Ovis aries: one gene and its partner. The protein of the gene in region 2 binds, or shares a complex with, the protein of the main gene of each other region. Links are inferred from orthologs where the notes say so. Each region holds a gene or a part of one and is shown on either strand. Other genes may lie near its edges. The genes, in order: PRIM1 and POLA2.

The links.
Region 1: POLA2 (region 2) and PRIM1 share a complex: the UniProt entries of both Homo sapiens proteins name them as parts of the alpha DNA polymerase complex. The link is inferred for Ovis aries from reciprocal best matches to the Homo sapiens genes POLA2 and PRIM1.

Annotation. Positions count from the first base shown.
Region 1 is NC_056056.1:162,928,480-162,932,300, forward strand, and holds part of PRIM1 (DNA primase small subunit), read left to right. Parts: intron 1-1,145; coding exon 1,146-1,215; intron 1,216-1,622; coding exon 1,623-1,708; intron 1,709-3,821. UniProt on the Homo sapiens protein: Catalytic subunit of the DNA primase complex and component of the DNA polymerase alpha complex (also known as the alpha DNA polymerase-primase complex - primosome/replisome) which play an essential role in the initiation of DNA synthesis.
Region 2 is NC_056074.1:39,931,523-39,935,343, forward strand, and holds part of POLA2 (DNA polymerase alpha subunit B), read left to right. Parts: intron 1-1,742; coding exon 1,743-1,849; intron 1,850-3,821. UniProt on the Homo sapiens protein: Accessory subunit of the DNA polymerase alpha complex (also known as the alpha DNA polymerase-primase complex) which plays an essential role in the initiation of DNA synthesis.

The DNA of each region.
Region 1 (3,821 bases), on a different chromosome or scaffold from region 2:
CCTTTTTAGTGTCAACAATTCAACTCTGCCACTTGCCGTGGGAAGTTAAGCAAATGACCCTTGGTTTTAACATCTGTACAGTAGATACCTCAGTGGTTTATGGTGAAGATCTAAAAGGTTAAATACTTAGAAAAGTGTCTGTCACATATTCAGTACTCCCACATTGCCTAGTTTTCTTTAATAGTCTACAATGACTCTGTAGTATATACATTTATATAGCCCCTTTTCAAATCTGCCAGTTATGTGTTTTTAGTTTATTTTGGTAACAAGCTTAATGTTTCTTAATGTTTCTCTTAATATTCTAAAGCTTCAGTGAGTATTCCCCTTATTTAATATTCAAGATTTGAGTAACTAATTACATTCACTCGTAAGTATACATTTTTATTATATCTTTTTCCCATTAAATGGCTATAGTCTTTTCACTCTGCCTTCTACCCGTAACTCTCAATTTCCTTAATTATTTTGTTAGTCACCTGCCATTCTTTAAATTCATTATCTCATTTTTCAGATATGAATTTTATCCTCATGTCCCAGATGTGGATTTTGTAAAAGGGTAATATGTCATTTATATTATTTCCAAAGATGCTCAACACATAGGTGTCTGTTTTGATTTCAGCAAATTAAAGTAATGAAGTAAACTACTTCCATCTATTTTGTGTTCCATCTTCAGGACTCACTAAATTTGAGATTGTTCCGTACGTACATATTGGAGGATATAGGGAAGAGAAAAACAGAAATCAAAATGGATATAAGAGCAACTAGGTAATAGCTCAGCAGTCTTTCACATCTATTTTTTGGTGTTTTTAGAGAAATAAAAGGCACTAATATGAAAGTACTTTTTTTTAAGACCCAATTTTATTCTGTTTATGTATTTTTTGAAACTTTTTGGCCACATGGCATGTGGGATCTTAGTTCCCTAGGCAGGAAGAGAATCATACCCCCTGCATCGGAAGTGTGGAGTCTTAACCATTGGACCTCCAGGGAAGTCCCGAAAGTACTTTTATATTTCTAAATAAATATTCTTAACAGATTAGTGTAACCCTCTTTCTAAGCCTTAAAGTTTTAGCCAAAAATAACTCATAGGACACAGCCTATAATTATTTGTATTGTACAATATTCAGCTTATAATTTTTTGTTTTTCACAGGTCGCATTTCTGTGCCTATTGACTTACAGAAAGTGGATCAGTTTGATCCATTTACTGTTCCAACCATAAGGTATGTTCCAGATCACTGATCACTCCTTTTTTGTTTGTGACTTGTAAATGTGAAGTAAATTGGATTAGATCCCTTCTGGAGAGGCAGCTTCTCTGAGGCTGTATGATGGTGCCCTTCCAGAAGAGCATTTCCTCGTGAGTTCTACAGAACACAAATTTTTCAGCTACTATTATGCAAAAAAAAAAAGTTCAAATAAGTTTGAGAAGTGTTGACTTAAGCAAAATTTCCTAGTCTTTAATATGCTAACATGCATGGAAAACTCCAGAAAGAGAGTATGATGTTTAGAATATCCCAAATTCATTTGGCCACATTTTTTTCACAGAAAATCTTGTGAGATTCATGTGCTTTCATACACTGGGTAATATTGACCAAGAATCAACTTTTAAATTATCTTCTATTATTTGTAGTTCCATTTGCCATGAGTTGGATGTTATTTCTACTAAAGAAGAAAAAGAGAATGGAGCTGAATCTGATATTAAACACAGAACCAGAGGTAGGTTAGTATATTGAAGTCTCACTTTAACATAATCTTTTTATATTGACGTCTTTCTGTGACTCAGTAATTAATTTGCCTTGGATTCAGACCAGAATGGATCATTATTTATCCTGAAACCAGCTCAGTAGCAAATAATATGATCACAATGTTTCTCTCCTTCATCAGTTGCCCAAATGGTGCTGTTGAATCCAATGTGAGTCTACAGATATTTACAAAATAACATTTAATGCCAGGATCTATACTGAAAGATTAAATTGTCAATTGATTTTGACAGTTGTTTGAATCTCACAGTCTTAGATTCAATAACTATCTACTTAACAACTACCATGTATGCAGTATTTCGTTCTCTACTTATTTTTGTATCCAGATGAGTGTTATGTTAAATATATGTCTAAACTGTAACTGAATTGTATATCCAATAATTTGAAAGAGATGGGAATATAAAACGGCCTGTTCAGTTCAGTTCAGTCGCTCAGTCGTGTCCGACTCTTTGCGACCCCATGAATTGCAGCACGCCAGGCCTCCCTGTTCATCACCATCTCCCTGAGTTAGTGAAAGTCAAATCTTATACCAATACCCAAGAGACACTATAGCAATAGTTCAACACTACTTTCTATGATGAAAATGTCATGCACTGTCCAAATGGTAATCACTAGCCTTTATACATGACTTTTGAGAACTTGAAATGTGAGAAACTGAATTTTTAGCTTCATTTAATTTAAATAGCCTCATGTGACTCGTGACTACTGTAATGGGCAGAACAGATCTCTGATTGATCTTTTTAGTCAAATGTTGCTACCTTGCTTTCAGAATCCAAGCTCAAATGTCACTTCATATATTTCAGCTCTAACATAAACAAGGTACATTCCTCCATCAATATTTATAGAATGATTACAAGCATTCTGTTTAAAATAATGGACAAAAGTCTCTAACAAATAAACTGGAAAATAATAAACTGGAAAAAAAAAGAACTCAGGGAAAATAAACAATGCAAGGAACAGAGGAAACCTTTTTTTAAAAAAACTGATCTCCTCAGAGATTAAGAGAAGACAGTGTATCCATGAAGCAAGACCAGAATGCTATGGGGAAAAAAACATTCAGAATAAGAAAGAGGTCTTAGAAATCAAAAACATAATCGTTAGAATAAAACTTTCACTGGAAGGGCTGGAAAAGAAAAGAGGAGACTTCCTAGAAAGTAGTGAAAAAAAAAAAAAAAAGACAAGTTAGTTATGTTTTTTAAGGAGGAAAAAGATAAAATTAAAGACTGATTCAGGAGGTCTAATATCTGACAGAAAAAGAACAAATAAAATAGGGAGGGAAAAAATTGCCAAAATTATATATGAAAACATCCCAGAAATGAGCCCTTTGTTAAAAGGGCTCAGCATAATGAGAATGATATGCCTACACCAAGGCACATCGTTTTGAAATTTAACAGAATTAAGAGAAGATCTTAAGAGCTTTCAGACCCCTTCCTACAGTCCCTCCCCACAAAAAAGCCATGGACCTAGGAAGAATGGCCTTAAATTTCTAAGTAAAAATGGAAGTATTCATTTTTAGAAGTAAGTGCTAGAAAAGAAAAAAGTAGTTGCCATTCAAGAAGATGGAAAGGTTAGCAGGGAGCTGCTATTTTTTTCCACAAAAACCTGTTAATACTATTTTACTTTTTTTTTTTTTAGCAAATTACTTTTAACACAACTTTTTAAATTTAATAATAAAAGAATAATAAATTTAATAGTATCTCTTTGTGGACATCTTTTTATTTTATTCAGAGGTTTTAAGAAAGCAAGTTTTGGCTCCCTATAAGGAGAAGCTTTATAATAAATATCTGTTCGGAAATAAACTGCTCTTTCAAGTATTCATACAGGCTATTAGCCGTGAGTAAGTCAGGGATGCTTTAGATGAGGTGGGAGGCTGGCATAGGTGATATATATAAGTTCTTATTATTTCTTTAATTTCTATGATTCTAAACTTTTGTCCATTTTCATATTAGTACCATTTGTTCCTTCCTTTCTGCTTCCCAAATACTGGTATGTTCTCTACCTTCCTCACTGACTATCTAATTAAATCTTTTTTCTAAGACCCAGTTCATAGCTACCTCAGTCAACTGTGA
Region 2 (3,821 bases):
GCTGCTCTTTTGCCCCTGTGCTCACCATAAATCTTCTGGTTGTAGTCCGACTTTCCACATGTCCTGCCTGACAGAGAAAGATGTATCAGCCTGGGGATTTGAAGTTCCCATGCTTCTGGCATCTTTTTTCTAATAAATGAATAATCTGGCTAAAATTTGGGTTCCTGTGTGCTCTGAGGATGAGTTCCCCCCAGGGTGTGAGACTGCAGTCCCTCTGTATGTCTCATTATGGGTGGGTAAACCAGCCAATAGTATTAGCAGTGAGTCTCCTGAGCTTGCTGCGAGTGAGCACACCCCAGGAACGTCTCGAGCTGGTTTGCTGGCACAATCAGGCTTCACCACGTGGCTGAGGGCTGAGCCCCAAGGCTCTGCTCTTTCCCAGAGTCCTGTCCTCTTGCTTCATCCTGGGAGATGGACCTGGAGCTCTGTAGCCCCCTATGTATTAGAAGGGTCTTCGGGAAAAATAGTTTGAGAAAAACCTATTGAAACCGTAAAATCTTTGCCATCGTTTGGCCCAGTAATCGCTCCTAGTAAGAATCTCTCATAAGAAATTATCCAAATTCCAGGAAAAGCTATTGTGTGATAGTGAGCACCTCAGTATTTGTTGTCTCCAGAAACAGATACACCCAACAACAGAGAAGTAGTTACGTAAACTATTATATATCAATTCCATCAACACAGCTACCAGAAAGGATGAAGACTGACAATGTGGGAGAAATGCTCAGAATTAATATAGAGCAAAAAACTCATAATATACAATACTTCAATGAAGGATCATATTCAAACTAAGATTATAACTATTAGAATTTTTTCAATTGGAAAAATATTGAAATACTAGAAAGGAGTATTTTTAAATGGCTGTTGTATAAGTGTAGCACATAAGGAAGGGTCCTTTTAAAATCTAGTTTCCATTCCAGCCACTTAAGGGTGGTTTCGAATCCTGCTTTCTTTCTCCTTGCCTGTCCCTAGTCACCCCGTAGGCAGCTTTGGTGGCATAACCTAAACCCGCAGCCAGGAGGAGCCCAAGGGCAGGGGAACGCTGGCCAACTAGCCAGCTGCCTGGTTTCCCTCCAGCCGAGGATTTTGTCTTTGCTCAGCCACAGTCCGTTGTCCCAGACTCTGGGGAGCAAGGGATCTCGGGATTTGCCGGTTTCACCCTCCACTCCAGGCATCTCTTTGGATTCTTCTTGATGAGCAAAACCACCCAGAAAACAAAACTGACCATCAGTGAGGCGTGTGCTAAATACTCTCCAAGTATGAGCTCACCCGTGTTATCTGCCTGGAGTCACTCCCTTCTTTAATTCTGAAAATGTGTGGTAGACTTTGCCAGAATAAATAGTAACATGGTCCCATCCCTTGACAGGAAAATGTGTCCGTGCAGGTTAAAACTATGTGTGTAGCCAAACTCCCAGCTGTGCTAAAGCAGAGAGGTGGGGAAGGAAAATGAACACGCGAGCGATTTGACAGGACAGATCGCCTGCTTGGCAGTCCTGTCGGGGGATGTTGTTGGCATTTGTTTCTTAGTTGCCTCCCAAATGGAGACAGCGTACTGCCGAGGACTGTATTACAGTTGCTAAAGTCTGAGATTCTGCTTGAAAGATGGGGCCTTCAGAAGAAACCCAGCCCTGTGTGGTCTGTGCCCTTCATCCGGGCACGTCCCCCCTTTTTTCCTAAGGATATGCGTGCTTCACTTAGCAACCCGAGTCTAGAGTAACTGCGCCCTTCTCCTGCTTTGCTTCTAGGGTTCTCAGAAGCGAACTATCACTACCCCAGAAACCCCCCTCACAAAAAGAAGTGTGTCTGCTCGGAGCCCCCATCAGCTCCTCTCACCATCGAGTTTCTCTCCAAGGTATGGATTCTGATAATTCAGCTGTCAGGCAGCAGGCCCGCCCTCCCCTCTCTCTGGTTACCTGGTAGAGGCTGACACTACAACCTGACTTAAGGAAGAGAGGTGGACGTTTCCCTCTGCAGTCGACTGGCTAGAAGACCGACTGCTCCCTCCCCTCCCCGCCCTCATCCTGTGTGGAAAGTTACTGTTTCTTACTGGTAGTTAAGGAAACTCACTTTCCACCCTCTTTTCTAGGGCTCATTTCCTAGCTCAGAACCTGATACCTCCTACCAAAAACAACCTGTCTATTCAGAAGTTGGGGAGCCTGCAAGTCTCTTGCCAGGAGGAGGCTAATAGGTTTCCACCTGCTTCTGTTAGTTCATGTGTTGTTGGGTTTCTTTCTTTCTTCTTTTTTTTTAGGTATTTATTTTTAAAAAAGAAAAGCACATATCTTTGTTCATAACATTGCGTAACCTGTTCTTTGTTCCTCACTCAGGTTACAGCTAGTTGCTGAGAGTTTTCTTGTCCCTGAACCTACCCCAACTTCATTGGTATTTTATCCCTGCTGCCACTTCTGCACATAAATCCACAGGGATCACGTGTGACTTTTGGAAATCCATAAATGACACGTGTTCCATGAGAGAATTCCGTAGTGGGAGCTCTGCTGAGGAGAAGAAAGGGCTTTAGGTGCTGCCGCATCGGGATGGGGCAAAGGAACGGTGGCGTGAGCCAGTTAGGGCGACACTGGCTGCCAGGAGTCACTTCTAGACCAAGCAGAGCTTAAGACTTGCCAACCTAAGACTTTTCTGTCACATCAGAAAGGAGGTGATAGGGACCTCCCTGGGAGTCCAGTGGTTAGAACTCGGCACTTTCACTGCCGTAGTCCCAGGTTTGATCCCTGTCAGGGAACTAAGATCCCACAAGCCACTTGGTAGGGCCAAAACACACGAAAGAAAGAAAGGGAGTGCTAGCATTGTTCAAGATCAGAACGGGGTCAGATTCTTTTTTTCTTCAATTTTTTAATTTATTTATTTGGCTCGGCCTAGTCTTTGTTAGAGAAGGCAGTGGCAACCCACTGCAGTACTCTTGCCTGGAAAACCCCAATGGATGGAGGAGCCTGGTAGGCTGCAGTCCATGGGGTCGCTAAGAGTCGGATACAACTGAAGCAACTTAGCAACAGCAGCAGCAGTCATAGCTGTGGCACGTGGAATCTTTAGTTGTGGCATGTGAACTCTTGGTTGCAGCCTACAGGATCTAGTTCCCCAACCAGCGGTTGAACCCCGGGCCCCCTGCATTGGGAGCACAGAGTCTTAGGCCCTGGACCACCGGGGAAGTCCTCTGAAAGGTAGTTGGATCCTGAGGGCGGATTTGACTTTAGTGTGGCCCACTCCTGCTTTCAGGAGTTTTCACCCTGGCTTCCGAATAGAACTGTGTAGACTTAGAAGGGCATCTTTGGATGCACAGAGATGGCTGGTTACAGAGTGGTTCTCGTAGGTGCCAGCACCATGGCAGCAGTTCTGTTCTCTCAACAGCAAGACTTTGAAACTTGCAGATCTGTTTGCAACAAACCCCGCGTGAGCATCTCCCTGGGTTAAAGGGCCGGCTGTAATGTGTGCCGCACAGAGCTTCGCAGGGAGGAGCTTGGCGCAGCTGAGATGCCCTGCCTCGTCATTCTGTAACGCATGCCAGTAAAGCTGACATCAGAAACTGGCTTCGTAATTTATGAAAGTAACTTCTAAATTATTCAGGTGGAGGCAGCACTGGAGACAGAGGTCATTAGTCAAGCTCGTTTGCTGCAGCCTCTGTGGAAAGGAGGAACTGGCAGCACCCACTGTAACAGTGCCTATGTAGAACTGGTTCCCGCAGGGTTTCAGGGCATTAAATGAAGCCTGTTGTAAGCAGGCCTCTTGGTGCACTGTTCACAACCAAAGGCTTAGAAGACCTCGCTGTCCTCTAAGCAGATCAGCAACACTGTGTGTCCTCGGAGGTGGAA